4 linked regions of the Struthio camelus genome follow. The protein of the gene in region 4 purifies or fractionates together with the protein of the main gene of each other region. This does not show direct contact. Links are inferred from orthologs where the notes say so. Each region holds a gene or a part of one and is shown on either strand. Other genes may lie near its edges.

Region 1 (7,838 bases), on a different chromosome or scaffold from region 4:
CACAGCAGTACAGGCTGATACAGAGATTATTTTCATTTCCAAGGAAAACTTTTACCTCTTGGCCTTATCAGAATTGCTGATGTCTTACAAAAGCCTTCCAGAAGGCTCCGGCCGTGTTACTGATTGATGAACGCGGAACGCTCTGTTTGCCCTGCAGCTGTTACCGTCTATGCCCTGCCCCTGCATTATCCTGAAATCTGCCCTCAGTTCTGCATACGTGCTTTAGGAGAGGCTGTCTGACATCCCAAATACTCAATGAATTTAGTTGCCTAACTTCCCAGTGGATACTGGGAAGTAGTATCCACTGGGATAGTAGTTTAGTACTACAATTAGTCTAGCAAAGTTGAATCCCTGCCCCAGCACGAATTTGTTTTGCCAGAGATTGCGTCTCAGTACAGGTAACGCATAACCCAGGATTACTATTAGCACTGTGACCTTCTTAACAGCCAGCTGATACATGTAGCAGAGGTCACTCAGGCCCCCCAGAGTATGGGTTTGAAACCTCCGATTTCTGTCTCTTCTGGAATAAGACCAACATTTAAAATCTGGCAGCTTGGATAATCTATGTAGAACATCCAAACTAACGGTCATTCTGTTACGGGATTTGAGGCATGTATTTATCTCAGCTTCTAACGATGTTTACAGATGTCTGATGGATGTGCTATGAGAGAGTGTCGTAGTTACATCTGTGATGATGTTGCTCTAGAGGATACAAAAACACCATTCAGTTTGGCCTCACATAAAAATCAGGCTCTGCCAGACCCATATAATGTCTGTGTTACATGGTTCCAAAAGGTGAGAAGTATTTTGCCAGTACTGTTTGTGCAATATGTAGGATTTGTATGCAGTGCAAATGTTAAGTATGTTACGTACTGGATAAATTGAAGTGTGTCGGTCAAATCTTTCTTTCTTTAGACAAATATGACGACAGCACAGAAATTTCCCTACTGAGGTCGTGGCTTGTGGTCTCATTGTCTAGCATGAATTCATTACACTGCAAGTGACTTTCCTACTGTGATCGGTGCATCAATATAAGAGATTCCAGCTGTCTAAGTAAATGGAATATCAGGATGACATAAAACTACGTAAGTTCATACCATGGAGAAGAAAGACTGGAAATTTTGTTCTCCTGACTTCAGACTTGTTTTCCTTCAAAGGAGAGGTTATAATGAAATTAAAAGATGACAAATTCAAAACTGACACTAACTTGTTTGAACTGTGTGTAATTAGATCATGAAACCTGTTAGCACAGGAAGTCGTTACAGCCAAGAATTTAGCTTGATGGATCAAAAACTATTATAAGGTGTCTAAAGCAATCTAGTTTCAAGTAATGTTGATAAAACGGAAGGAATATTGAATTGTCTACTTCAGAGCTTTTGGCAATATCAAAATTACTTACTACATAGTATTGGGATCATAAGATCTTATTATTGCATTTTTGTATTTTCCCTGGAGCATTGGTGCTGGACATCTTTAGAGGTGAGATTCTGAGACAGATGGATACCAGGTCAGATTCAGTGTGGCAGTTGCTGTTTTCTTGCTGTTGTCAATTGCTTTTAGTAAATAACCAGCCTGACTACTACTATTTTATCACATCGAGTTTCTTGCTCAGTACAGTATGAGTCTGAGATAGAAAGCAGACAGATAAAGCCACATATGATCCTTGCTTGTTAAAACGATTATTACTTTGGCACAGAACTCTAACTGGGATAAGATAATTGCTTCATTTCATAAGCTGATAAAGGATATGATGCTTCATAGCAAAGGTATTTCCAGCTTCCACTTTTTAGCCAGAAATGTACAATGTTAAACTTTGCATCCTGATGTTTCCTAGTCTTGTATTTTCTTTAGTCCTTTCCTCACATTTTCCTTCTCTTCCTTAATTCACACTGGGTTGCCTTTTCTTGATAGTCTTTTTGACATCTCTGCTCAACTCAGTTCAGCAACTGATGTTTTCCATGTATGTTTCTTGAAATGTTATACAGATCAAATTCCAAGAATGGCCATACTGGGATAGACTAAAGGGCAGGCGTACACAGTATTTCTGCTTGATGCTCTCTCAGCCTCCAAACATTGCAGCTCAGAAATTTCCAGAGCTAGATGCAAATTCTACCTAGGTATTTATTTACACGCAATGCATTTCTCTTCATTAAACTTGTTCGGTCTCCATCTCAATTCATGTAAAATTTTACTGTCCACAGCGTCCTTTGGCAAGGACTTCAATAGGTCATCAACCCACCCATGAGGGTCTACTATCTTTGCTCTGTTCTGAGCTGGCTTCTTCTTGCTTCATTAGATGCTCCAATAATTCTTGTATTGAAAGGGAGAATAAACAAATTGATCGTCTTCCTACCACTCCAGGCCACTAGATTATACAGACCTCAAATCCTTCCTCCTCCCTTCTTTCTTTTGTAGAGTGGCAACTCCTAGCTTGCTTAGTTGCTCCTCATTATCAATGCAGTTTCACACCTTTCATCATTCTGGCTGTCCTCCTCTGAACCTTTTCAGTTGTATATCCTTTCTGAGATGTACCACTTTTAGTTTAAATTAATATGTGAAACAGACTGTACTTGCTGACCCATTTCACAGTGCTGTCCACTAGGTTACACGGAAAACGAAAGCAGTAGGAGAAAAGACAGTGGCATAGAGAAATAAGTTTCTCCTCTACCCACTTTAGATGCCAACAGTTTCCATTCCGATGCAACAAGGATGTGTCTCCTTCTTTTTTTCCTTTTTTTTTCCTTCTCCTTCTAGGAGCTCGAGGAAGGAGATAAGATGAGGTTCCGTGATAGACCTCGTCAGGGAACTGCAAACCCTTTAGAAAGTGTTATGGCTGTGTCAGTGTATGCAACACAGGAAATATGCACTATTGTTCTGGCAGCAGGAGAGGCAGATCCTGAATGGCATCCTGGTATTAATGATCTTAATGTCTCTTAGACCCGCCAGTTTCAGCACACTTGAAAACCAATGGGTGAAACCATTGGAAAATCATGGCAGGTCATTGTATCACTATGATAAGAAGTCCTCCTGCTTTCTTCCTCATCAACAAGTTATTTAGGCACTTCTTCATTTATTTTTCCAAGTGTTAACCAGTTGTTTCTCTCTATGCTGCAAACAATCATTTCTGACCGTTTCAGTTCGCTTAACTATCTTTTTGCTTTTGTCAATAAAATATCAGTTCTCTAAGAAGCCGTGTGAAATTTACTGGGTAAGAATGAGAAGCTGTGTTGAAAAGATATGTAGGCAAGAACATATTGCCCTTGTGTATTCTCCCTTTCATCATTCGATAATTTCAAGAAATGAAGAGCAGAAAAGACTTGACTAATTTGGACTGAATAAGAATACAAAGTCTTATGTCAACCAGAACTTTAAAGTTTCAGAAGCAGTTGCATTCAGGAAGGGACAATGCCAGAATTCAGTTCAGAACTATTACATATTCATAATTTATCTTTGAGAAAATGCATTCAAGGGAAAGATATTTAAAGATCAGATAGCTTTTTTGTTATCTTTTATCACAAGTCATTCTCAGGCTTTAGTCTATCTTTTTCTAAGATACAGCTGAATACTAGATCTTCCACAGTTTTCCGCTTCCCAAGCCTCACCAGACACCTCATCCAACCCTACTATTATGCATCTGAGCCGGAAAATTTCAGATGAAGAGGTCAGGTAAAAGACTGGCACCTAAAGCAAAGCCATCAACAAGAAAGCAAATAGAATAAATATAATGGAATGATGATTACTCAGTAAGAAAGATCTTGAAAGAGATAGGATGCTTTACTTCTGTTTCAGTATCTGATTCTTATCTGGAGACATTTTGAACATCCTCCCAGGCCAGAATATTGAGTAAGATGGGTCAGTGCATCTAAGTAGTCAGAGAGAGATCTATGTTTGCAGATAATTGCAAATGGACTCTTTTCTGTACATAGCTGAGCATGTATGTAGCTGTGTCATCTACACGGAGAGGTTTTTAAAATGCTGCTGGCAGGGAGAAGGCTTCTTGGGGTGCATGTAAATGACTGAGGCGAAACACGAAAATACTTGAGGAGGGGCCACAGCAACTGCTAAAACTTTTTAGAAAATATAAAAGGCAAAGGCTGTGTCTGCTTTTCTTACCCCCAGTTTTACCCAGCGGTTTTAAATCTAGGCTCCTGCTGCCCTGTCAACTGTAACTGTCTGTTTGTATGTGTACCAGTATGGGAGAATGTTCTTTTTGCTGCATATTTTGTATGACTGGATCTTCTCTGGCTCTTTTCTCTCCCTTAATGAACCCCCATGATGCTTTCCTCCCTTTTTTTTCCCTCCAAGCAGTTTTATCTTCCCATCCTGTCGGCTTGGTGGGACCAGCCTGTTGACAAGTTAACAATTTGCCGTCTAGCACCCTTGCCGGGCCAAGTGGCGGCGAGGCAGTTACCGGGCAGCGGGCGGGCGTGTTGCCACCTCTGGGTTGTTTCCCCTGGCGCTGGGGCAGTGCTGCTTCCTGAGGGGTTTCAAGCCGCTCGCTGCTACCCGCGCCTCGAAGGAAAGCGGCCTCTCGGCCCTGCCGGCTCCAGAGGGCCGCCAGCACCAGCCACGGGCCGTGGCTCCGGCCTGCCAACCCCTGGCGCAGGGGGCCCGCGTCGCCTCTGAGGCGCCCCTGACTGCAGGAAAGCAGTAACCCTGCCTTCCCTAGCTGGGAGGGGGCCGCGCCCGCTGCCGTTTCCCGAGTCCACGCGTCCGTTTACGGCCCGCGACGAGCCGTTGCCAGCCGCCCAACGGCACTACAGCTCCCGTGGTGCCGCGCGGCGGCGGCGCCCCGCCCCGCCCCGCGGGCGCGCACAGCCTGCTGGGGGCCGGGGCCGTGCGCGGGGGCCGGCGCCAATGGCGGCAGGCGGTGGGGGCGGCTGACGGGAGCCGTTGCCCGTCGCGCCCATTCATTGCCGGCACCTGCGGCCCGCGGCCGGGTTCCGCGCCGCTATGGAGGCGCTGATCCCCGTGATTAACAAGCTGCAGGACGTGTTCAACACGGTGGGGGCCGACATCATCCAGCTGCCGCAGATCGTCGTGGTGGGCACGCAGGTGAGGCGGGGGCGGCCCGGCCCGGCCCGGGCGGGGCGGTGGCAGCGGCGGCGGGAGCGGCCGTCGGTGCCGAGCGGCGGGAGGCGGCAGCCCGGCCGCTGGGGGCAAAGTCGAGGCACCCTCCCCCGCGCCTCGGCTCGGGCGGCTCCGGTGCTGCCTCTATCAAGGGCACGGGGGGACGCGGCGGGGCGGGCCGCCTCCCCGCCGCCTGCGGCCGCGGCGCCTCTTCCCCTTCCGCCGCCCGCCCGCTCCCCGCCTCCCCCGCGCCGCCGGCGGCTGTGGCCGGTGGCGAGTGCGAGGGGCGCAGCAGCGCGCTGGAGAAGCCGCCTCTCGCCGGCGTGCACCCTTTTTTTTTTTTTAACCCCCTCCCGCGAGGTCGCTTGACAGTTCCTTGCGCTGTTGGGACCTGTTTGGCTCGGGCAGCGGTTTGGAGCGAAAGGAGGAAGCGGCACAGAGCAAACCTGGAACAGTTGCGGCGTGCGCATCCCAGCCTGGTAGCGCTGGAGGGTTATAAATTGTTTCGGAGCCTTTCGGAGGGACGCAAGCGCGCTGTAGTTGCTCGACAGAACTCTCCGCGACGAAATGTGCCCAGCCAGAGCTGTCGGAGTTGTAGGCTGAAAATGAAGCATTTTAGCACAGCTAGAACTGCCTGGGAGGGGAGTGCTTTTTCATTTTTAACTTGGAGTTAATGGGTCTCTTTGTTTCTGTGAAATTAACCGTGCTTATGAATATTTGATGTTACTTGACAATAGCCTGGCTACATAAGAGACAGCAGTATCAACTGTTCTGCGGTCAGTTTGAGATGTCATTATGTGGCTTAAAACAGATGCTGCGTGTTTAAGGCTTACACAGTGCTGAAGCACGGACTAGGTTTGCCCATAGCTAATTACACTCTTGAAATGGTTGTAAGGCAACCAGCTGTCAGTCTCTTTTACTGATATAAATCAGGTAGATTCATGGACTTTATATCAATTACTTTATAAAATAGATCTGAAATACTTGCATTGTGTGGGAGAGACTTTGCATTCACAGGTTATGTTAGGTTCTTGCTGTTTTTGTAGCTAAAAGGAGTCCATCACCTTCTGAAGACATTTAATCTCTTACACTAAAAATCATGCAAGCAGGCTGTATTTTTTTTTAATTTCTATAGCAGAAATAGGTGCAAGGCAGAGATATGGCATTTTTCTGTGTAATGTTAATGGAAGTATTATTTTCTGTTTCACTTTATGAAACACATTGAAGTGACACTTTATTTTTTGGATTATTGTTGCTTTATAGCAACTTGATCCTAGTTAACTGCTCATAAATACATAGAGTAGGTGATGCGTGTTACGATTATACTGACATGCATTTGACTTGAACAGTCTACCCTTGGGTAGTAACATCCATTCAATTTCAAATTTGGTAAACTCATGAAAAGACATAGAATAAGGTAAAATAGTGTGATGCCTCTTAGCACACCAAGGCCAAGAGCTTTATAGACTCCAGAAAAAATACAGCAAAATGTCTGTGAAATTATAATTACATTATATAATTGTATTATAATTTCACAGACATATATAAAGCCCTTGGTCCGTGATTTTTTTTTTTGTTTGCAAAACACTATTTTTAGTCAGAGTTATTGGAAGAAATAATTGTTCTCACTGAAATGCTAATTCTTTAGATAGTTATTTTACCCAATTCATTCATTTTAAAAAACACTTTATTTTATTCATTTGAAGTTAGCTTATTGGCTACTAGATTTCTGGATTTGCCTCAAATATGGCCCTATAGCCGATCCTATTACTACTGGTGCTTTGCTTCCGTGATTTGTTTGTTTGTTTGAGAAGACACATTTAAAAAAAAAACCAATATCCTTTGGTCGGTTTCTTGAGGTATTTTTGGTTAAGTGATATGTGACCGCTAAATTTGTTCAGATGATTAATTTCTTTGTAGCCCACTGGCTTTTGCAGTCTCTTGTTTTTTCTTTTTTGTATAATATTAACAACTTTCTGAATTTCGCACCTTCATTTTACTATGTGGAAAAACAAATGTTATTAACATTTCTGTAACCCTCCATTAATTTTTTTTGTCTATTTTGTCTGTTGCTTTTCTAAAATGGCCTTTTTTTATATTTAGCATGGAGAAAAAAAAACCTTTTTTAACAGTTTCACTATTCATTTGTTTTCATTTACCTTCTGTATCTGTTCTGTACCCTTTTACTATTTGTTTTGTACTTATGTCTTTCTTCAGTTCTCATTTATTTCTACTTCTATATGCCAAATTGATTTCTTCTTTTTTAGAGTATGTAGAGTTAGCAAGTACTTAAAATCTTTAAGTTATCTTTGGATGTTTTCTGTTTCTCCATGTGCCTCTTTCCCCCTCTCTCTTGTTTGGAAACTCATTTCCTATCTTCCTTGAAAACTCTGAGCAACTGAGGTGTCCTAATTTTTTGATTTTTGTAGATGGATTTTGATACTAATTACAAAATACTTCTTAGTAGATTTTAAACATTTAGATGGCCTCTTGCTCTTTTTCTAGTCTCATTCTTGTGACTTTGTCATATGAGAATTGCTTCTCATTTTCTACTTAAATACTGTGTAGGTTATTTCTGTATCCTCCTAGAGTGTATTAAGAAAACCGAAGACTCCATTTCCTACTGCGGGAACTCGGAGAATGCCCTTGGAATGCTAACTCTGTGTTGCTATTTTAGGGTTTTTCTGTCATTCTACAGTGGGTTTTCTTTTTATTTATCTTTTCCTGAATCTGTGTTTCAGTTCCCTTTTTACAACTATTTCATTAAA
Region 2 (7,684 bases), on a different chromosome or scaffold from region 4:
TGTCAGGGCCCAGGAAAGGCAGCAACATGTAACCCTGTTAACCTCGAGGGAAACCATGCGGCCTAGTGGTCAGGTGATGGGAGTAGGAAGGGAAATCATGAGGAAGGCCAGAGCTCCTGATCAGTGCATTTCTTCACAGCCCCCTCAGCCATCCCAGTGACACAGGGATTCTCACAACGCTCTTAACAGGGACACAGAAAAGGTACAGAAACACTGTTACTGCTCACCCTCTGCTTCTTGCAGTTCTTCTTCAGTAGGCCATGTCTGCTCCCCTTCCATAGGATCAGGGACCACTTCTGACTGCAAAGGCTCCTGCTTGGTAGCATCTGCCTTCATCAGGACCTTAACATCCTCCTCCATCTCATCAGCACCATTTACAGAGTCATCCTGAAGGGCAAAAGAACAGAACCCCCAGTTGCAAACACACCTAATTCAAGCTAGGGATCAGTCTGAAGTGAAGGACTAGCTCCTCCCACAACCTTCGCTACCAAAACTATCCCCACCCTGACAAATAAGAAACACAAACTCCCCTCAGCATAACGTCCATTATGTCATAACATCACAATGTTCATTACATGCTGTATCCAAGGAAGTCTCGGCTCACTGGCAGAACACAAGCCCACCTTCCCCCTCAATGCAACCCCCTTTTCCCCCCACCCTTGGCCACATACACCCAATCACACTTTCTTGATGAAAGTTTAGAAACATCGGGTTATAACGGGCAAGGCAAACGCCGACCACCAGCACACCTGTATATCCATGCCCTGACTCCTCTTCTGTCCTTTAACCACTCGGGGGTTCAAAGAAAGGGGGTCTGGGGGGGCATCCACCTGGCTCATCTGGAAGTCTCCATGTCCCACAATATGCACCAGGCTGTTCACACTGAGGGTCTGTCCCCGCACAAAGCCGGACACCTTCAAGGTCCCCACCAAGTCGCTCTCCTGACTGGGCACAAACTCGGCAGCATAGGCAAGCAGGTGAGCCCGTCTGTCCCGAAAAGCAAGATGCCGCTGCTTCTGGGCACCGAGGTGCCGCAGCAGCAGCGAGCACTCCTGCTCTGTGTTCAGGGGGAAGAGCTTGGCCTCTGGAAAGCGTTTCTCAATGGCTTTGGCGAGTTTCTTCTTAGCATCTATCCGTTTCTTTGGTGGCAAGTCGGTGCCCCCCAGGACAGCAAGAGCTACCAAACAGCACACAGAACAGAGCTCATGATCAGAACATAAACCTTCTCATACCACTTTCACCAAGCGTTAACAAGACAAACTCAGATTTCTGCATTCAAACGAACCAAGCAACAGATTCACACCATAAGTTACAAAGGCAGTTTCACCCATTCAAAAGAACACACAATCATCACAGAAACCCATTGTGAGAATGCAGAACACAGCAGCAGGGCAACAGCACTTGGCCAATTGATACTCGCTTAGAAACAGAGTGGTCAGAGACCTGTGATCACCTGCTAACACATGGAATTTTTAATTACTGCAACAGTAGGTCCCCGTCAAGCACTTCCTTAACCCGCACCCCACTAGAAGTCCGCACGTTTCTCATTCACTCACCATAACTGGGGAGCCCCTGTGCAAAGAGGCAGGAGAGACAGTGCTCCCCTGTGCTGTCCCAGCCATCCACAGGATCCAAGAGGAACAGGAGGGAGTCTGCGACTTTCGCTAGGTCTAGGACAGCATGAACATCCCCTGCACGCAGAACATCTCCGTTACCGGGGCTGCTGGGGCTAGGGAGCGGAAACCCACCCCACCAGCAGCGTTTCCTCACCTGGCTGCGCTGCCACGAAGCGCCAGCGCTGCTTGAGCCGGGGACAGAGGAGCGCGAAGCCACCGGGTCTCCCATCATCAATGCGCACAACGGTCGAGTCCTGGCTCTGCAGCAAGTGGAGGGTGTCGTGCGCTGAGGCCCCGCTGTGCAGCGGCACCACGACCACGAGGTGCGGGGGTCCGTCCCTGCTGCCCAGGCTCCGCTTCTCTGCCAACACCTACGGGCACAGGGAGACTGTGAACCGCAGCTCCTACCCTCCTCCCCAGATCATGCCGCAATTTCCCCCACCTCAACTCAAACTAGTTTGGCCTGGTAATGCCACCCCCACCCCCAAATGAGCCAACCCAGGTACCTGCTCCGCTCCTAGGCCCAGTTCCTCATCGCCCAGACAGATCTCAGAAAGCCCAGGCCCTGTTCCACCCCCAATGCTGCTCTGAATCAGTCTAATTCCCGTTTCCCCACCCCCGAGCCAAACCATCCCAGTGCCCGTTCTCCATTCCCCCTCTTCCCTGTGCCCCAACCCACCACCCTCCTGCCCCAAACACCAAACCAGCCTAACTCCCATTCCCCACCTTCCCCCTGCCCCAAACACCCAAATCTGCTCAGGTGCCTTCCCCCTCCCCAAACCAACCCAGGTCCCATTCTGCATCCCCCCGCCCCATACCCGAACCGAACCGACCCGGGGCCCCTTCCCCCCCCCCCAACACCCAAACCGGCTCAGGTACCTTCCCCCTCCCCCGCCCCAAACCAACCCAGGTCCCATTCTCCATGCCTCTCCCCTCCCGCACCCGAACCGGCCCGGAGCCCGTTCCCCCCCCATCTCGTATCCGAACCGTCCCCGGGGCCCCTTTCCCCTCCCCCCAGCACCCGAACCGGCCCCTCCCGAACCCCTCCAAGGCCTCCCAGCCCCTCACCGCCTCCTTGCGCTGCCGGCGGAGCTGCAGCGCCTGGTGCCGCCGATCCACCCTGCCGAGGTCGCGGCGCCGCCGGCGGGGCAGGGCCTTGGCGGCGACTCGGCCTGCGGGGAGAGAGCGGTGAGGGAGGGGGCGACGGCGGCGACGGGGGGGGGCGCGGGCGGGACCCGCCTCACCTGCGGCGCGGCGCTGCGCGGCCCCGCGACGCTTCCCGCCCTTGTGCGCCTTGTTCTGCTGCTTCAGCGGCCCGGGCCGATGCGCGCCCGCCGCCGCCGCCGCCATGCCGCCTCCTCGCCGCCGCGCCCGGCTTCCGGCCACGTCACTTCCGCCCGGCGGAGGAGGCGGCGGCGCGGGGCATGCCGGGAGCGCGCAGCGCCGAGCACAGCCCCGACATGGCGGCTGCGAGAGGAGGGGCGGCGCCGAGGCCTCCCGCCGCCGCCGGCCCAGCGGGGCGCTGGGACACCAGAGCCCGCAGCCGGCGGCCCCTCCGCCTAGCGCTGTCCCCCAGCAGCTTTTCTCTGCCGGTTGCTGGAAGCGTTAGGAACGCCGCACCCCAGAAGGCGGGCGAGCAACGCGGTTGAACGTTTACCGCAGCGTCACCGTTGCTCGTCACGCCGAAGTCAGCGACCCAAGGGAAAGGCAGGGCAGCTGCGCCTCCGTTCCGGAGCGAGCCGCGACGGGGAGGGAAAAGCAGCGCCCGGTATCGTCCTCCCTTATCCCTCCTAGGAAACCAGCTGCCAGCTGAGCTGTTCTTTACACCCATCCTTTCCTGTCCCTGCAGGCAAGCCGACTGCATTAGCCTTTTAACTCTTAAGAGCAATGAAGATAGCATGTCCTACCTGACAGGAGGAAATTAAGGGACTGCTGACAACTAAACACGTCTAAGCAGCAGCAGTTCTCTCTCTCTACATGTGTATCAGTTGGCTGCAAGACAGCGTGCAAATCTCCCATTCTCATCTCTGAAGGCCGTGTTTCCGTCAGCTGAGATGCCCGCAGCACTGCCGTGCGGATCCAAGGGCAAAAAGGCAGCTCAGAGGGGAGGACTCGGGAAGAGGAGACAACTGGGATACTTTCCCATCAGGAATAATAATGATAACAAAAAGTCCCATTAGTTATTTATCCCTTGTCATTTAAGCCAAACCAGGGAGAGAAGCAATATTTGTTTGAAACTTTTTTTGCCCAGCCTTCACATCACAAAGCCATCTACCTCTGCCCCCTGCGAGTCGCCCAGACAATCTGGCCTTGGAAGCCCACAGTCAGCCAAAAGGGTCCCACCACAGAGGTCCACGTCTCTCTGCTAGCCTTCGGGGGATCTCAGCAATCCTCGGAGCAGTGGCAAGCACAGCTCTGGCTTGCAAAATAGTTAATGTGCTCAATTTGCACTGTAGGCTGGGCCTCTCATATCTAAAAGTAAAATTCCCACAAATCTATATATCACAAGCATATGGGAATTTCACTGACCTGTGCCTGCTTGGCTCTGCAGGGTCCTCTGCACAGTATACAAAAGTTAAGACCTGCTGACCTCAGAAAGCAGGAGTAGAAAGCCAAGCACCACCTCATTGTGGCTTCAGCGTTTCAGGTTAAAACAAGCCCTTCCTGTTGAAGCAGAAACTACCAACCAAGGAGATGCTATCACGTCTCATGCAGGGAAGTAACCGCTAGCAGTTAAGATGCACACTTCTCATGCTAGGCAAGTCCTTGCAGCAGGGGAGGGCTTCTGTCCACGTGCCCTGTACTACCACAACGAGCTGGCCTGTGCCCCACGCACAGCGGCCTGCTCGGCACCACCTGCCAAACGGCCTCTCCACCTCTGCACTCCCTTCTCCAACAAAATGAGCTTTGCATCCCTCCAGCATAGTCCAGACGAGCAGTGCCATTCAGAGCTGCGCAGAGGGAGCACGGCTTTCAGGCTGCTCTGCCACACGCTGGCTACATCCCAGAAAGCAGCTGCATTGCAGGAAGGCTGCGCCTCACTAGGAAGCAGAACAGCTCACTCTTCTGCTCCCTACTGCTGAAGCAGTGAAAAGTTTGGGCTGACTCTGCTTTGCACAGAGGTGAGGGGGGAGCAACAGGCTGGGGCAGGCTTGATGCAAAACCCAGGCCTTGGTTTACAAAAGACGACAGGTTGCAACTGGAAGGGCCAGTTTATTAGAGAAACCTCATATTGCAGAGAAGTCACAACACATCGGAAGGGGTCCAGGCCTGCTGAGTGGGCCAATCTTCTGCAGCAGCACAGATCTAACTCCCCAGCTCCAACCTCAGCAGGTGCCACAAAGGGAAGGGTTAACTGTAACAGAGCTTATGTTTACAAGCAGCCTGAGAGAGCCAGTATTAAAGTTCAAAACAACCTCCCCGTTAGACAACGGTTAAAACAAAAATGGTTTAAAATGTTTAAAAGCTCCGTGTTCCTGGCTGCGGTGTGATGGGGAGGCAAAGGTCTACAACACACACAGTTCTCTGTGGATCTCTGCTCTACCAGTGAAGGCCAGAGGGGGGGGTCTTCTCATCTTTGTTGCTTTCCAGAGAAAAGGGTGGGATTCGGACATCAAAGTGGGAGCCATCAGGCCTTTCAAATCGAAAAGTACCCCTGCAAGATAAAGGCAGAGATTACACTGAGGCCAGGGCAAACATCTAGGAATCGTCAGCTAAAAGGTAAGAAATGAACTTCTCCGTTTCCTGCGAAGGGACTCTGGGGCTGCATTTGCAAGGCTGGTTTGGCAGCAAGCACACCTCTCTGCCAAGGTGACTCAATTATTACAATACTCCTGGGCAGTTTACAACACATCTCTCATGTACATTTCCTGAATAGAGATGTCATGTTTGGATCCCCCAGGAGGCATATTGCACCCCGAGCATCTGCAGCAATATTTACCTAAAACTCACCCCAAAGGAGACAGAACCTCTGAGCTATTTTTACAAACTGATTACAAGTAAATTCAGCTTCTTATTTCTTGGCAGAAGCTCCACTGGTTAAGAAGCCTGGGACAATCATGAAATCCCATCACAGACATAACTTGGAGCAGCTTCTGCTTTGAATTTCAGAAAGGGCACTGAAGAACCAAATCTATTCGTCCTTATGCAGAAAAAGCATTTGCCACGTCCCCAGAAGAACTCTCACTGCCATGAAATACAGACCACTGTGAACTGCAGAACGTGACATGGGCAAGAGCACCGTGGAGATACAGTAATAGGTTCTCATAATGCAGAGGACATAAATAAGGACACAATAAGCCAAGCTGAGCACAGCTTCTGAACTTCAGAACTTTTGTCTCCTTCTCTTCAGGATGCATGCAGAGAGCTAAAAACACTAAACAAGCTGTTTTAATTCCCCAGGGCATGCATTCAGGCAATTGTAAATACATAGCATGGCAAACAATGCTAGCAAAGGTATATCTTACAGGCAAAGAGCTGCTCTCACGCATTTCCAAGGCAGCTCAACTTCTAAAATAGATTGACTCAAAAAGCGCAAGCCAGAAAGACCTGTCATACAAAAGGCAAGAGGTGGCTGCGCACTTCTTGTCCCCACAGAGATGACACTCAGTGTGCCAACCCACTTGAAGGGAAGGGAATTTGCTTCAGCCCCAAGGCACAGGAAAAGAACAGCTCAACCTGAGCATTTTCCATCCCACACCAACAGAAGAGGAGACCTTAATGTCAGTCAGACTGAAGGCCTTATCTGACCTAAATTGGGAATAATCCTACAGGCCAACTCCTTGGATACAGAACTGCACAGCTTCACTCAGGGATAGAAAAGCCTTGTGAAAGCGCAGGGAATACTTGTGCACGCATCCCTGCTGTCCTAGGGGAAGACCGCATGAAGACATGCCTCTTGCGCCAAGGACTGAGAGGGACAGAAACCAAGTACATCAGCTGATGATGGAGAACTGCTCCAGCTCTTTTCAAGTCCAGTCTAGCACAGACCAGAGAAAAGTGGATAAATTAGCCTGTAGCCTCTCCCAGTGCAGGGAATCAGCAGATGTTCTTATTACTACCTGGGACTATTGCTATAGAGTAGCTTCATACAAACACTCATTTTAACTATCAAGTATGTCCTGTCCAGTCCACTTCTACCCACCTTTGAGTCTTAATTCCAGACTGCAAACTCTGCACGTCCCAGATCAGCACTGTAGGGTCCTATATCTAAACACTACTGCAGTAATAAATGCTCCTTACCACATGTGACCACTGGATGCCTGCAGGGAGACGTGACTACTGTACTGAAATGCTGGCTGTTCTTTGGATAAAACTGGCTCCTGAGAAGACAAGAAGAGACAACCCTGCATCAGCAGCGGATCTTAAGATTTCTCCATAGCCATCCATCAACAGAAAATGTACACAAAAACAACCACAAAAACAGAGATCCACAGGCTTCAGAATGGTACTTAGCATCACTACAAACTAGATGACAAACAACTCACCCAGTGATTAGCATGAGAATTGCAGTTTTCCCTTTGTCAGTCATTTAGGACCGTTCTCTAATACTCAATGTGAGGTTTCAGCTCACAAGTATCAACAACAGATGAAAAGCTCATGTGATTTTTTTTTTTCATAGCTCATTTTCTATTCCATCTAAAAATGCCCATTAAGAAATTGACTGCTAAATCAGCCCAAGCAAAAGGCTCCATTTCCCAAAAGAAACATATGATATTACACAATACCTACCCTTCCTACAACCCCACGACCTCTGACAGTTTCCAAGGTGCCGGACAAGCTAAATATCCTCCAGTGCCGTTCTCGTAGTTGTACCACTTCGCTGTCAAGGTTCTCCAAGCGAATACAGTAGCGCCACTGGACAGAAGAAAGACTGTTATCAAGAACTGTAATCAACTGCAGATTGCTAATAACCCACAACTGAGACTGGGAAACAGTTGCCAGGCAAGGGCTACCCTCCCTCAGAGCTTATCACACAGCAGCGATGCCACAGCGAATAAACTCCTTCCCTTTAGCTGCTTTGTGAAACAAAACGCACTTACCCAGTAGACGTGGGAATTCTGGGCTTC
Region 3 (7,848 bases), on a different chromosome or scaffold from region 4:
CCCCAGGGGCAGATTTAACCCCCTGGGGCAGTTTTGCCCCCCCGGGGGCAGATTTTACCCCCCCAGGGGCAGTTTTGCCATCTTTGGGGCAGTTATTACCCCCCCAGGGGCAGTTATTACCCGCCCAGGGCAGCTTTGCTCCCTCCAGGGCAGTTTTGCCCCCCCGATGGCAGTTATTACCCCCCCAGGGGCAGATTTAACCCCCCCAGGGGCAGTTTCTCCCCCCCATGGCAGTTATTACCCCCCCAGAGGCAGTTATTACCCACCCAGGGCAGCTTTGCTCCCCCCTGGGGCGGTTTTGCCCCCCCGATGGCAGTTATTACCCCCCCGGGGCAGATTTAACCCCCCCTGGGGGCAGTTTTGCCCCCCCTGATGGCAGTTATTACCCCCCCAGGGGCAGATTTAACCCCCCAGGGGCAGTTATTACCCCCCCAGGCAGTTATTACCCCCCCCCGGGGGCAGTTTTAGCCCCCCCCAGTGGCCGCTGTGCAGAAGTTGTCCCCCCCGCCCCCCCCCCAAGGGGCCCAGGCGTCCAGGGTGGAACCCGGCCCCCCCCCCCCCGCCGGACGCCTGGGTCCCGTGGCATCGCCCCGGGCAGGGTGACGCCCTGGGCTCCCCGGCGGCCTCAGTCGCCCCGCGGCACCCGGAGCCGGCCATGACCCCCGCCGGGACCCCCCGCCGCGCCCTCGCCCTCCTGCTGCTCCTCGGTGAGTGCCCCCGGGGGGCCCAGGCATCCGGGGAGCCCCCAGCCCCCGCCCCGGGGGCCCAGGCATCCGGGCGACCCATCCTGGGGGCCCAGGAGTCCGGGCATCCCCATCCTGGGGGCCCAGGCGTCCGGGTGCCCCCATCCTGGGGGCCCAGGAGTCCGGGCATCCCCATCCTGAGGGCCCAGGCGTCCGGGTGCCCCCATCCTGAGGGCCCAGGCGTCCGGGCGCCCCCATCCTGGGGGCCCAGGAGTCCGGGGAGCCCCCAGCCCCCGCCCTGGGGGCCCAGGCGTCCGGGCATCCCCATCCTGAGGGCCCAGGCGTCCAGGTGCCCCCATCCTGGGGGCCCAGGAGTCCGGGGAGCCCCCAGCCCCCGCCCCGGGGGCCCAGGCGTCCGGGCGACCCATCCTGGGGGCCCAGGAGTCTGGGAGCCCCCATCCCCTACCCTGGGGGCCCAGGCATCCGGGGGCCCCCGGCCCCTGCCCTGGGGGCCCAGGCGTCCGGGCGACCCGTCCTGGGGGCCCAGGAGTCCGGGCATCCCCATCCTGGGGGCCCAGGCATCCGGGGAGCCCCCATCCTGGGGGCCCAGGAGTCCGGGGAGCCCCCAGCCCCCGCCCTGGGGGCCCAGGTGTCCGGGCGACCCATCCTGGGGGCCCAGTCGTCCGGGGAGCCCCCATCTTGGGGCCCAGGCATCCGGGTGCCCCCATCCTGGGGGCCCAGGAGTCCGGGAGCCCCCATCCCCTACCCTGGGGGCCCAGGCATCCGGGGGCCCCCGGCCCCTGCCCTAGGGGCCCAGGCGTCCGGGTGAACCCACCCTGGGGGCCCAGGAGTTCGGGAGCCCCCATCCCCTGCCCTGGGGGCCCAGGCATCCGGGGGCCCCCGGCCCCTGCCCTGGGGGCCCAGGCGTCCGGGTGAACCCACCCTGGGGGCCCAGGAGTTCGGGAGCCCCCATCCCCTGCCCTGGGGGCCCAGGCATCCGGGGGCCCCCGGCCCCTGCCCTGGGGGCCCAGGCGTCCGGGTGAACCCACCCTGGGGGCCCAGGTGTCCGGGCATCCCCATCTCCTGCCCTGGGGGCCCAGGCATCCGGGAGCCCCCATCCTGAGGGCCCAGGCGTCCGGGTGCCCCCATCCTGGGGGCCCAGGAGTCCGGGCATCCCCATCCTGAGGGCCCAGGTGTCCGGGGACCCCCCATCCTGGGGGCCCAGGCGTTCAGGGAGCCCCCAGCCCCCACCCTGGGGGCCCAGGAGTCCGGGCATCCCCATCCTGAGGGCCCAGGCGTTCAGGGTGCCCCCATCCTGGGGGCCCAGGAGTCCGGGCGACCCATCCTGGGGGCCCAGGCATTCAGGGAGCCCTCAGCCCCCACCCTGGGGGCCCAGGCGTCCGGGCATCCCCATCCCCCACCCTGGGGGCCCAGGTGTCCGGGCGCCTCCCCCAAGGGACCCAGGCATCCGGGCACCCCCGTCCGCCCCCCCCCCAGGGGGCCCAGGCTCAACCAGCCAAAAGGGGAAGTTGTGGGAGCGGGGGAGGGCCGGACGCCTGGGCCCCCGTCTGTCTGTTCAGCTTCCTCCTCGGCCGGGCCCACGAGGGGCCCAGGCGTCCGGGTGCCCGCATCCTGGGGGCCCAGGCGTCCGGGGGCTCCTGCCCCTCCCCCCCCCCTCACTGGGGCCTTTTTTCACCTTTCAGGGCTGGTTGCCGCAGAGAGAGGTGAAACCCCTCCCCCGCCTCGAGGGGCCCAGGCGTCCGGGCTTGGGGAATCCCTCTGGGAACGGCCCAAAGGGGCCCAGGCATCCGGGAGGGGCCCAGGTGTCCGGGCGGGCCCAGGTGTCCGGGGAGGGGCCCAGGCATCCGGGGAAGGGCCCAGGTGTCCTGGAGGGGCCCAGGTGTCCGGGAGGGGCCCAGGTGTCCAGGGAGGGGCCCAGGTGTCCGGGAGGGGCCCAGGTGTCCGGGGAGGGGCCCAGGTGTCCGGGGGGCCCAGGTGTCCGGGAGGGGCCCAGGTGTCTGGGGGGGGGCCCAGGTGTCTGGGGGGGGGCCCAGGTGTCCGGGAAGGGCCCAGGCGTCCGGGGGGCCCCAGGCATCCGGAGAGGGTCCCAGGTGTCTGAGGGGGCCCAGGTGTCCGGGAAGGGCCCAGGTGTCCGGGAGGGGCCCAGGTGTCCGGGAGGGGCCCAGGTGTCCGGGGAGGAGGCCCAGGTGTCCAGGGAAGGGGCCCAGGCATCCGGGGAGGGGCCCAGGTGTCCGGGGAGGGGCCCAGGCATCCGGGAGGGGCCCAGGTGTCCAGGGGGGCCCAGGTGTCCAGGGAGGGGCCCAGGTGTCCGGGGAGGGGCCCAGGTGTCCAGGGAGGGGCCCAGGTGTCCAGGGAAGGGGCCCAGGCATCCGGGGAGGGGCCCAGGTGTCCGGGGAGGGACCCAGGCATCCAGGGAGGGGCCCAGGCATTCAAGAGGGGCCCAGGTGTCCGGGAAGGACCCAGGCGTCCGGGAAGGACCCAGGTGTCCGGGGGGGGCCCAGGTGTCCGGGAGGGGGCCCAGGCGTCCGAGGAGGGACCCAGGCGTCCGGGCCCCCAGACTGCAGCTCCTGCCTGCCGGGCCCTGGACCAATCGCGGCGCTCGTTGTGGCCGACCTCATCATGACGCTGCTCATCGCGGGCGGAGCCTATTGCCTGGCGGGGCGGAACCAGCGGGGTAGGGGGGGTGGGGCCAGTGGTGGGGGTGGAGCTGGTGAGGGAAGGGGCGGGGCCAGCTGTGGGGGTGGGGTCTACAGCCCGCTGGGGTGGGGGCAGCGTTGGGGGTGGAGTCAGGTGGTGGGTGGGGCTTAGACCCCCATGGGGGTGGGGCCTATGGGAGGGTGGGGCCAGATGGGGTGGGGGCCTTGTGGTGGGCAGGGCTAGTGCAGCCAGGGGGTGGCGCTAAGTGCTGGGGGCGGGGCCAGAAGGGGTGGGGTTGGATGGGGCTGCTGGTGGGGGGCGGGGCCACTGGTGCCTGACTCCACCCCGCCCCCCTCAGCTGAGGTGAAGAAGCCCCGCCCACCCGAGATGGAGTCGACCTATCAGGTGGGCTGGGGACCTAGGGGGCGGGGCCAAGACAACCATGCCCTTATATGGCAATCCTGGGTAGCCATGCCCTTATATGGCAATCTTAGCCATATAAGGATTGGGTAACCATGCCCTTATATGGTAATTTTGCCCTTATATGGCAACTCCCACCTGTTACCCGGGTAACCGTGCCCTTATATGGTACTGCAGTCCGTTACCCGGGTAACCATGCCCTTCTATGGCACCGCAGCCCGTTACCCGGGTGACCGTGCCCTTCTATGGCACCGCAGCCCGTTACCCGGGTGACCGTGCCCTTATATGGCACCGCAGCCCGTTACCCGGGTGACCGTGCCCTTATATGGCACCGCAGCCCGTTACCCGGGTAACCGTGCCCTTATATGGCACCCGAGCCCGTTACCCGGGTGACCATGCCCTTATATGGCGCCCGAGCCCGTTACCCGGGTGACCGTGCCCTTATATGGCACCGCAGCCCGTTACCCGGGTGACCGTGCCCTTATATGGCAACTCCAGCCCGTTACCCGGGTGACCATGCCCTTATATGGCACCGCAGCCCGTTACCCGGGTGACCGTGCCCTTATATGGCACCCCAGCCCGTCGCCCGGGTAACCATGCCCTTATATGGTAATTTTGCCCTTATATGGCAACTCCCGCCCGTTACCCGGGTGACCGTGCCCTTATACGGCACCCGAGCCGGTCGCCCGGGTAACGGCGCTGACCTCTGCCCCCAGGAGCTGCAGGGCGGCCGCCGCGACATCTACAGCGAGCTCAAGGGGCCCAGGCGTCCGGGCCCCCTCCCCCAATAAACCGACCGCTTCCCCCTGCCCGCGCTTCTCCTCTCCTCCTTCCTTTACCGCCTCCTTTATGCCGCCGGGGGCGGGGTTTCCCCTTTACTTCCGGGAGGGGCGGGGCGGCCGCCGCCGACGTCACCGCGGCGCGCGTCGCGACGTGACGTCGCCGCGGCGCGCGCCGGAAGCGCCCCTCCCCCTCCCTTCCTTCCCTTCCCCCGCCCCCCGCGGCCGCCGGCGCGCGCGGCGCTGCTTCTCCGCCATGGCGGCGCCCGCCCCCCCCGCCGCCGCCGCCGCCGCCCCCCCCGCCGCCGCCGCCGCCCCCCCTCCCGGGGCTCCGGCCGGAGCCGGCGCTGCGGCGGCGGGAGGAGGAGGAGGAGGAGGCGGCCCCGGCCCCGGCCCCGCGGCGGCCAAGAGCGGCGAGGAGCGGCTCAAGGAGATGGAGGCCGAGATGGCGCTGTGAGGGCGGGGCCGCGCGTCGCCATGGCGACCGGGCGGGGGCGGGGGGGGGAGCTGCGTGGCGACGGCGGGGGGGGGTGCGGCTTGAGGGGCCGTAGCAGCGGGGGGCGGGGCTTGGGGCTCCCTAGCAACGGAGGGGCGGGGCTGGGGAGAACCGTAGCAACGGGGGGCGGGGCTTGGGGCTCCGTAGCAACGGAGAGATGGGGCTTGAGGGGTCGTAGCAACGGGGGGCGGGGCTTGGGGCTCCCTAGCAACGGAGGGGCGGGGCTGGGGAGAACCGTAGCAACGGGGGGCGGAGCTTGGGGTTCCGTAGCAACGGAGGGGCGGGGCTGGGGAGCTCCATAGCAACGGAGGGATGGGGCTTGAGGGGTCGTAGCAACGGGGGGCGGGGCTTGGGGCTCCCTAGCAATGGAGGGGTGGGGCTTGGGAGAACCATAGCAACGGGGGGCGGAGCTTGGGGCTCCATAGCAACGGAGGGGCGGGGCTGGGGAGCTCCATAGCAACAGAGGGATGGGGCTTGAGGGGTCGTAGCAATGGGGGGCGGGGCTTGGGGCTCCCTAGCAATGGAGGGGTGGGGCTTGGGAGAACCATAGCAACGGGGGGCGGAGCTTGGGGCTCCGTAGCAACGGAGGGGCGGGGCTGGGGAGCTCCATAGCAACAGAGGGATGGGGCTTGAGGGGTCGTAGCAGCGGGGGGCGGGGCTTGGGGCTCCGTAGCAACGGGGGCGGGGCTGGGGAGAACCGTAGCAACGGGGGGCGGGGCTTGGGGCTCCCTAGCAACGGAAGGGTGGGGCTGGGGAGCTCCATAGCAACGGAGGCATGGGGCTTGAGGGGTTGTAGCAACGGGGGGCGGGGCTTGGGGCTCCCTAGCAACGGAGGGGCGGGGCTGGGGAGAACCGTAGCAACGGGGGGCGGGGCTTGGGGTTCCGTAGCAACGGAGGGATGGGGCTTGAGGGGTCGTAGCAACGGGGGGCGGGGCTTGGGGCTCCGTAGCAACGGAGGGGTGGGGCTGGGGAGCTCCATAGCAACGGAGGGGTGGGGCTGGGGAGAACCGTAGCAACGGGGGGCGGGGCTTGGGGCTCCGTAGCAACGGAGGGGCGGGGCTTGGGGCTCCATAGCAACGGGGGGCGGGGCTTGGGGGCCTCCCTAGGCACCCGAGAGGGGCTGAGGAGCTCCAGAGCAACAGAGGGGGCTCTATAGCAACGGGGGCGGGGCTAGAGGCTCCATGGCAACGGGAGGGGCGGGGCTAGAGCCCCCCCCCAGGCTCTCAGGAGGGGCTGGGGGAGTTCCATAGCGACAGGGGGTGGGGCCAGGAGGCTCCATAGCAACGGGGGGGCGGGACTGGGGATGCTCCATAGCAACGGGGGAGGCAGGGTATGAATGAAGGGGGGGCGGGGGGGGCAGGAGGGTCCCGGGGGGGTAGCGGGGCGCCCCCCCCGACCCCCCCCCCTCATCATCGTCACCCCCCCCCCCCCACCCCCAGGTTCGAGCAGGAGGTGCTGGGGGCCCCGACGCCGCTGCCCGCCGGCCCCCCCGTGGTGGAGGCCGTGGCCCTGGCCGTGCCCCCCGTGGCCCCCGTGCTGCGCCCCATCATCGCCACCAACACCTACCAGCAGGTGAGGACCCCCCCCCGGGGGTCGTGGCACCTCCCCCCGGGGATCTGTCACCCCCCCGGGGACGTGGCACCTCCCCTGGGGATTTGTCACCCCCCCAGGGACGTGGCACCTCCCCCCCGAGGATGTGGCACCTCCCCCCGGGGGACATGTCACCCCCCCCGGGGGTCGTGGCACCTCCCCCTGGGATCTGTCACCTCCCCCTGGGATCTGTCACCCCCCCGGGGATCTGTCACCCCCCCAAGGACATGTCACCTCCCCCCGGGGGTCGTGTCACCTCCCCCCTGGGACGTGTCACCTCCCCCCCGAGGATGTGTCACCTCCCCCCGGGATCTGTCACCCCCCCAGGGACGTGTCACCTCCCCCCGGGGACTTGTCACCTCCCTCCCACGGACACGTCACATCCCCCCCCCCAGGATGTGTCACCCCCCCCGGGTTGTGTCACCTCCCCCCCCCCGATGTGGCACTTCCCCCTCGGCACATGTCGCTTCCCCCCGGGATGTGTCACCCCCTTGGGACACGTCACCCCCCACCGCCCAGGACGTGTCATGTTGTCTTCAGCGTGTGTCACCCTCCCCGGGGACGTGCCACCTGCCCCCAGGGACGTGTCCCCCCGTCCCCGTTGATGTCCTTGGTGACGTCCCCATGTCCCCAGTGATGTCCCTGTGTCCCCACTGGTGTCCCCGTGTCCCCACTGCCGTCCCCGTGTCCCCACTGATGTCTTTGGTGGCATCTCCATGTCCCCGCTGCCGTCCCCGTGTCCTCGTTGATGCCCCTGGTGACATCCCCATGTCCCCACTGATGTCCTTGGTGACGTCCCCGTGTCCCCACTGCCGTCCCCGTGTCCCCACTGATGTCCTTGGTGACGTCCCCATGTCCCCACCACCGTCCCTGTGTCCCCGCTGCCGTCCCCATGTCCCCGTTGATGCCCCTGGTGACGTCCCCATGTCCCCACCACCGTCCCTGTGTCCCCACCACCGTCCCCGTGTCCCCACTGATGTCCTTGGTGACGTCCCCATGTCCCCACCACCGTCCCCGTGTCCCCACTGATGTCCTTGGTGACGTCCCCATGTCCCCACCACCGTCCCTGTGTCCCCGCTGCCGTCCCCATGTCCCCACTGATGTCCTTGGTGACGTCCCCATGTCCCCACCACCGTCCCCGTGACCCCGCTGCCGTCCCCGTGTCCCCACTGATGTCCTTGGTGGCATCTCCATGTCCCCACTGATGTCCCCATGTCCCCAC
Region 4 (6,961 bases):
ACTGACTGCAGTTCTGTATCACCAAACGTGCATGAACGTTTCTCCAGCAGGAAGTTTTACTGCAGGGCCGACATTTGGCAAGTAGCAAAGCCCCAGACCGAGTCACCTGCCTTTCTCCGAGCTGACTGTGGCGTGAACTCGCTCCTTGTTTAGTCTAGGGCAGGATGAGAAAAGGTGTGATCCCCCAATGCAGCAGCGGTGCAGGTGAGAAGTCTCTTGTGTGGGCGCAGCTATGCCAGGACACCTGCGCTCCCGACGGTAGGGGGGCTTCCCTGGCCCCCTGCAACAGACAGCTCTATCAGTGTACTGGTGCTGTGGTCGGGGTGCTGCCCGTTTCCAGCAGCGCTGGATAGCAGAAGTCAACTTTGTTTGTCAGCCTAAACCAAGCTGAAAAATGTTTTCTTCACTGAGCGCTTTTTCCCCGGCTTTTCCTACCTGTGCCTCTATCTACAAACGCGTTGCAGCTAGAGGATGCGTTTCGGTTGAGTTTCCTAAGGCAGCAAGACATGTGCAAAGCTTCCAGATGCAGCCATCCCTCCCTGTCACTCGTGAATGTGCTGGCCATTATCGAGTAGATTTAACAGAGCAGCAAGGGTCTGGAAAATCCTTATCTTCTCATAAGCCTTGTGAAATTAGACAGCTGGGTACTGGGGAGAGACTAGGCTGATGCCCCTTCTGAAGGAAAAAGCTCCCATATAGAGGGTGACTCTACAAGATATTGTTGAACCTTTTGGGAACTCACCTGGAGCTACACATCTCCAAGACACTAAGCTTTTTGGTTCTGCTACTCGTGCAAGCTTTCGTTTGATTTGAATATTTTCTTCTGTTTTTCCTCAGAGAGAGTCTGTCTGTTTTGTCACGGATGTAGCCAGCCCTCTGCTGCACACAGTCTTGTTTCCTCTCTACTTTTCCCATAGACTAGAGCTTGCTTGCGTGGCAAACTGCCAAAATCCTTATTGACTGCATTTGATAGGTATTCCAGCTCCGAGTTCCTCGAACAGACAGAACGCGAACCAGGTACGGTCGCATTGTGGACGTGGCAGGTGCCCCGTTCCCCCGGGGGGCGATGCACAACGGCAGATTGCATCCTGCTGAGGAATGGGGAAAGGGCTGCAGAAAAGCGAGTTGCCAGGTAAACGTGCAGGCTGTGCTTTCTGCAACACGGTGCTTACTGTGCCTGTCAGGTGAGGCAACAGTTACCAACTTGAACATGTTGATTAATGAGTTTGCTTTTCAAATAAGACTTGAACCTAGGTAACTTTTCCTTCCTGACAGTGCAGTTCTTTTGCGTGACTGAGAATAAGACGGCTGTTTGGAGGCGTGGCGCTGGGACTCTCCCTCTGTGTACAAGCTCCTTTTTTTTTTTTTCCTTTTGGCATTTTAAGAACCTTTCTTAATGTTTTGAATTGAAGTATTATTTTATGGCCAGCAGTGCCTGGAAACTGTGAATTCTGAAATCTTGTGTTCCACTGACGATACTGTCACATGGACTTGTGACCTGTGTGGCTAACTGTAGGGCATCTTTACTGCAAATGCCAAATACGGGGGCACGCTGCGTGCAGCCAGAGCAGGCAGAGGTGCAGAGAAGAGCTGGAGATTATCCTGCGTCCTTGGTCTGCGGTTTCTTGATATGCAGAGCTCAGTAAGCATAGCTGTCAGTGATCGTATACACGTGATAATCAGTTTACTTCTGGTATTAAAATACTTTGAATCTGTTTTATGCGTGCTTGACTCAAGGTGTAATCCTAAACCAGTTAGGCTATATCTGCTCTTTGAAATTTTTGAAACAGTGAATACATGCTAGCTAGTTTTGTCTAGAGTGGAATTTTACTAGATAGTTAAACGAAAGCAGGGTGCAGAGCTCTCTAGGTATGAAACTCAGCGTAGCACAGTGGAAAGGGAAGATGCACGATCCTTGCAAAACCAACACAACAGAGATGCTATGACCTCCCTTTGAGTGAAAAATCCCAAGTACCAGCAGCAGGCAGGTGCCCAGCTACTTGTGTAAACACATGGTTTCTTATAACCAAGGGGGCTGCCCATGCCATTTGGCAAGCAGCACTTCAAGGCTCAAGTGAGAAATGTTTGTATTTTGTTCCTAAAATGCAGCGATGCAGCCTCGATGCGTAATGTGACAGGAGGCTGAAATGGGTCTAAGGCTCTCCCTGAAAACATCTGCTCCGTAAATATAAATATTTTTAATTATGTGTTACTTGGTGACATTCGATCCATCCCCAAAGCAAAAGGCTTGGTTGAGGAAAAAATTTTGAGTCCGGAGGATATAATTTATGGTGATTACTTAACAATATCCTGAGACTAGGGTGAGCTTCTTGTGTGAGAGAGCCAGTGCTTCAATCATCCCTTAGCTTTCATTGTGGTACTCCAGGAGGGGGGTCCTCAAAGACCTCCCAAAAGCATCATTGCTCCAGAAAAGAAGTGGCTGTGGTAACGCAAGGAAAACTGATGAGGAACAGTGAATGCAACCAGTCTTTTTCAGCTTATCCAGAAGAAACTAAAGTGTGAACCTATTTTTTAAAAACAGCTGATTTGCGGAGTCCCCCATTTAAAACCAGTGCACATTAGAGAACTGAACAAATGTAATTAAACCAATTTTAAAGCAATTATTTGAAGTGGTCTGAGTAGATAAGGCAAATATTAGAAAAATTGTCACTTGTCGAGAATGAGTTTAGTTATGCTAATAGGTACTAAAAGGTTCTGACAGCCATGTAAAGATATAAGCTGTGGACATAGGAAGTAGTATTTTAGAAGGATGTCAGATATGTGCCAGTTAAATATGTTCTAATCTTTAATTATAACTTCCACGGACTATAAACGGAACTATGGAGAGCAGTTAACGCTGCAAGTACTTTCCACCTTCACTTGGTATTGTCTTCTAATTGTGCGTATCTGCTAATTAGATGAAGATGAAGGTCAGCGGAAGAAGGCATTTTTGATTACGCGGCTAGCGTCAAGCTAACTCTTAAAGCTTTTGAAACAGTAACTTTTACTGGCTGCAGAACAAATCTCTTATTAAACGTTGCCCTTCCATCACCCGCAGGTGTCCATCTCAGCGTCACCCCGTAGACGACATGATTTAAGGCCAGTGAAAAGCGTCCTAGTTTCTGAAGGCGGAAGCGCTCCGTTTGCGCAGCGAGGGCCGCCTTGACTGCGTCCACGCGCGGGCGTCCCCAGCCGCCGCCGTCGCCGTCGCGTTTTTCCTCCAAACGGAGCAGCGTGCGGCCGCGGTCCTTCCGAACCGCGGACGTGCAACCACGAGCCTGCTTCCCCCTCGGGGCGCGAGGGGAGCGGTCGTGGATCCCGCGAGCCCGGAGCGGCCGCCCACCGCTTCCACGCTCTTGACGGGTTTCTTTTTTTTCCCCCCGTTTTACCTATTTTTACGGGGCAAGGCGGCGGCTCGGAGCACAGAGCGGGGGCTTCGTACGCGAGCGCGCGGCCCCGCACGCGAACCGAAGCCTACATCCCTGCCTGCACCGCGCTTTCGCTCTAGGGGGGCGCAGACCCACCCGAGCGGCTCCGTAGCTAATTAACAGATATTAACTTTGCCGTGGCCAGGCCGACCGCCCCCTTGCAAACACCTCGGGTGCGCCCAAGCGCCGAGCTCTCCTTGAAAACGCCTGTGGATTTCCCCCCGCCCTGGCTTTTTTTTTTTTTTTTCTTTAATAGACTCCTGAAATTGCGCGTTTCTGCAGCAAAAACCGCCGCTGGGGCCACAAAAGATGCCTCAAAAAAAAAAAAAAAGAAAAAGGCCTAAATCGGCGAAACCGCCCCACCCGCCTCGCCGGGCCGCGCCATGGCGGCGGCGCGCCGCCCCCGCCCCCCCCCCCGGCCCGCACAACGGCGGCGCGGGGCACGCTGGGAGCTGTAGTCCGGGGCGGGGCAGGCCTGCAGCTCCCGCCGTGCCCCGCGCGGGGTGAGGTGCCCGGATGTGCCTGGCGCCGGAAGAGAAGCGGCTCTCTTTGGGGGACGGCCATCTTGTGCGGCGGCGAACAGGGCTGAGGGGGGCCCGGGCAGCATCGCAGGCGGATCCGGCCGACGGGGGTCCATCATGCCCGGACACCTGCAGGAAGGTTTCGGCTGCGTCGTCACCAACCGCTTCGACCAGCTCTTTGATGACGAGTCCGACCCCTTCGAGGTGCTGCGGGCGGCCGAGAGCCGGCGGAAAGAGAGCGGCGGCGGCGGCGGGAGCCAGGGGGGCGGCGGCGGCGGCGGCTCCCGCAGCGGCCCGGCGGGGGCTCAGCCCGGCTCGGCCGGCGGCGCCGGCAGCGGCGGCTCGGGCCCGGCGGGGACCGGCGGCGGCGGCGGCGTGGGCAGCGCGGCCAAGCAGCTGCGCAGGGAGTCGCAGAAGGAGCGCAAGAACCCGCTGCCGCCCTTCGCCGCCTCGGCCGCCGGCGGCGGCGCCCCCGACCGCCGCGAGGAGGGCAGCGGCCAGCCCGGCGCGCCGCTCCGCAAGGAGGGTGAGCGAGGCGGAGGCGGCGGCGGGGCGGGAGGGGGCCGCGGCGCCGCCGCCGCGCACAAAGGCGGCGGCGGGAAGGCGGCGGGAAGGGAGGCCCGGCCGGTCGGTCGGTCGGTCGGTCGGTCCCCGCCGCGGCGGCCTGGCGCCCACGTGGGGAAACGCGTGGCGGTAGGTGGTGGTGGGGGGGGAGGCCCGTCGCACGTGGCCGTGGGCGGCTTTACCGTTCCGGCCGAAACGCGCGTTTTGTTTCCCCGGTGTCCGAAAGGAGCCGCGGGCGGGAGGGTTGGCAGCGCGCAGACGGGACCGTGCGGGAGAGGATCGCTCCTGCCGCAGAGCCCGGGGAGCCTGCCCTCCTGTTTTGGGTGCTGTGACATGCTTAGCATCCTCTTCAGCAGTCTCTGGACTCGGCTTTTCTTTTTTTTTCCCCCTCCACGTTCACTGAGTTGTTTTTTTTTTTTTTTTGCGTCATAGCGCAGTTGATAGGACCAAGGTATGCGTTGCAGTAATACGTTTTATTAGTGCTCAGCCACATTTGTGCAAACCCGTAAGGCATCTCAGTAGACTTCACGGGAAGCTTTGGCTTCCTCTTGTGAGAAAATCAGAGTGGCATAAGCTTAAATAAGTTCTGGGAAAAGTGAGTAAAGGCACAATTTTGCCTGAGAAGGGGTGGATTTCGTACATACGTTCAGTCGTGTGGCAGGCGGTTGTACTGCACGCAAGGAAACGTGCACGTCTAATTGGCCAGAATTGTGAGCAACTTGGAGCTCTCGAGGTGCATGTATGCCGAGAGCAGTTAACGTTTGTGCGAAGAAATACTTACCAGTTGCAAACTTAACTCCAAATGGCCTCTTTGAAAATGCTCTCTGTTCACAAGAGGGCAAATTGCTACGTGAGGCTATGTTAATATTTTTGCTTTTAATACTGTACATGTTGCAGAATGATTCTCCACCGGGTTTTATGCTTTTTAAGAAAGGAAAACTTTCAGTACGTTTGTTGTTTTAGAAGATACCCCCTCCCCAAAAATATTACTTAAAAATACCTTGTGATATACAGAAGTCGAGAACTGTTTTACAGTACCCTTTCCTTATGCATCTTTTGTACTTCCAAGTCTGATGCTTGAGGGTTTTCATATGAGGAATGCAGTAACTTATCCTGAGTGGCGGTTTGCTAAACAAGTGTCCTTTGGAAGTACTTAATTCGGATACAGATTTATGGTGGTATTCCTCAAAAAGTAAACCTGAAACATGGGCAGTGTCTTTGGCCAATACAGCAGATTGCTGAGGGTTGTTTTGGTAAGACTCGCTATCAGTATGTACATAGCAGTTTGCACATTTATTTGCAAGAGCAAACACTACTCAACTTTGTGAATTGTAGCAATGAAACAGAGAAAGCCAAACCTTCTTTTGTAGCCGTGTGTATGGAGTACTTCAGTAAGAGACCAGTCGCCTTCAATTTTGAAAATTTCAATGCTTGTATGGGACAATACTACTTAACATTATAAAGGTAGTTGGTGCTATGGTATTAACAGGATTTATTTACTGAGTGAATATATTACTGTTTACACTATTGCCTTAGTCTGTAAAGGTGCAGATTATTTGGCTGATGAGTTACCCTTCAAAGCTATGTGATACTAAGACCAAGAGGTAATTTATATTTCTGGGTAGGCTGCACTAGGAACCACGATTTTCTGGGCACAAGGTGTTGAACTTGAAGTTCAGAAGAGCTGGATTATTCGTTTGCACTTCTGTAGCATACCTCCTGTGTGACTTTGGACAGTTCACTTTCTCCCTGGCTTTACCTCTAGAATGGAGTGATCCTTCTTAGTTTGAGTTCTTCTCAAAGTCAGTGAGCTTAAACTCATGTGTTTCTTTAGTGAGGAAGGATTACTTAGCAAGATATGTATGTCGTGCAAACTTAATGTTAAATACAGCTTGCAAGGTGAGGAAGACATTGTTCATTTGGGTGTGTTGGCTTGGATGTCATTACAACTGTAACTTTTTTAGCCCCACCCTAAATTTGGCATTGCTTGTTAGGCAGGAACTTATTTAAAAAGATTAAAATTTGAGAGTTTTTAATTTGAAAGAAAACTTGCATTTTTTGAGGCAGTCTTTGTGGTTTGCTTGGTGTTTTTTCTCTAAACATTGTGAAAAGCTAATAGGATAAGGATGGAGTGATATGTTCATCCAGATCTTTCTAAAGAACAGTAAACAGGTCTTTTGGAAGATAAATAGAGTTTTTTTATCCATTCAGGATTCTTCAAATGTCTTCGTGAAGAAGATAACGCCGTAAGAAGTGATTATTTAAAAATTTTTGATAAAAGTGGGAGGAAGGGGTATAGAAGGAGAGGGAAACGGCCTAATTGAGGTGAAATTAAAGGCAGAGAGAGGGAGTTAGCTGTCTAATTCACATCGAGGTGAATTTTTGTCAGTGAGCACGTATTGGATTGTGAGGATTGGAGCGTGGATTAATGCTTCGTTTAGTCGCTGA

What was found.
Region 1: the proteins of SERBP1 (region 4) and DNM1L purify together in Homo sapiens (affinity purification with mass spectrometry; 3 studies listed by BioGRID and IntAct, with this or other methods). This does not show direct contact. The link is inferred for Struthio camelus from reciprocal best matches to the Homo sapiens genes SERBP1 and DNM1L.
Region 2: the proteins of SERBP1 (region 4) and TSR1 purify together in Homo sapiens (affinity purification with mass spectrometry; 3 studies listed by BioGRID and IntAct, with this or other methods). This does not show direct contact. The link is inferred for Struthio camelus from reciprocal best matches to the Homo sapiens genes SERBP1 and TSR1.
Region 3: the proteins of SERBP1 (region 4) and RBM42 purify together in Homo sapiens (affinity purification with mass spectrometry; 3 studies listed by BioGRID and IntAct, with this or other methods). This does not show direct contact. The link is inferred for Struthio camelus from reciprocal best matches to the Homo sapiens genes SERBP1 and RBM42.

Annotation. Positions count from the first base shown.
Region 1 is NC_090942.1:67,416,876-67,424,713, reverse strand, and holds the start of DNM1L (dynamin-1-like protein), read left to right. Parts: upstream 1-4,824; 5' UTR 4,825-4,953; coding exon 4,954-5,055; intron 5,056-7,838. UniProt on the Homo sapiens protein: Functions in mitochondrial and peroxisomal division.
Region 2 is NC_090957.1:16,394,819-16,402,502, forward strand, and holds the start of TSR1 (pre-rRNA-processing protein TSR1 homolog), read right to left. Parts: upstream 3,010-7,684; 5' UTR 2,967-3,009; coding exon 2,861-2,966; intron 2,789-2,860; coding exon 2,685-2,788; intron 1,988-2,684; coding exon 1,771-1,987; intron 1,692-1,770; coding exon 1,557-1,691; intron 1,178-1,556; coding exon 750-1,177; intron 388-749; coding exon 228-387; intron 1-227. Other genes in the region: POLDIP2 (polymerase delta-interacting protein 2), read right to left, coding at 5,157-5,271, 6,858-6,937, 7,347-7,472, 7,658-7,684. UniProt on the Homo sapiens protein: Required during maturation of the 40S ribosomal subunit in the nucleolus.
Region 3 is NC_090974.1:27,732-35,579, reverse strand, and holds the start of RBM42 (RNA-binding protein 42), read left to right. Parts: upstream 1-4,838; 5' UTR 4,839-4,973; coding exon 4,974-4,993; intron 4,994-6,475; coding exon 6,476-6,608; intron 6,609-7,848. Other genes in the region: TYROBP (TYRO protein tyrosine kinase-binding protein), read left to right, coding at 656-707, 2,387-2,407, 3,262-3,378, 3,700-3,746, 4,478-4,552. UniProt on the Homo sapiens protein: Binds (via the RRM domain) to the 3'-untranslated region (UTR) of CDKN1A mRNA.
Region 4 is NC_090949.1:37,015,792-37,022,752, reverse strand, and holds the start of SERBP1 (SERPINE1 mRNA-binding protein 1), read left to right. Parts: upstream 1-3,948; 5' UTR 3,949-4,066; coding exon 4,067-4,475; intron 4,476-6,961. UniProt on the Homo sapiens protein: Ribosome-binding protein that promotes ribosome hibernation, a process during which ribosomes are stabilized in an inactive state and preserved from proteasomal degradation.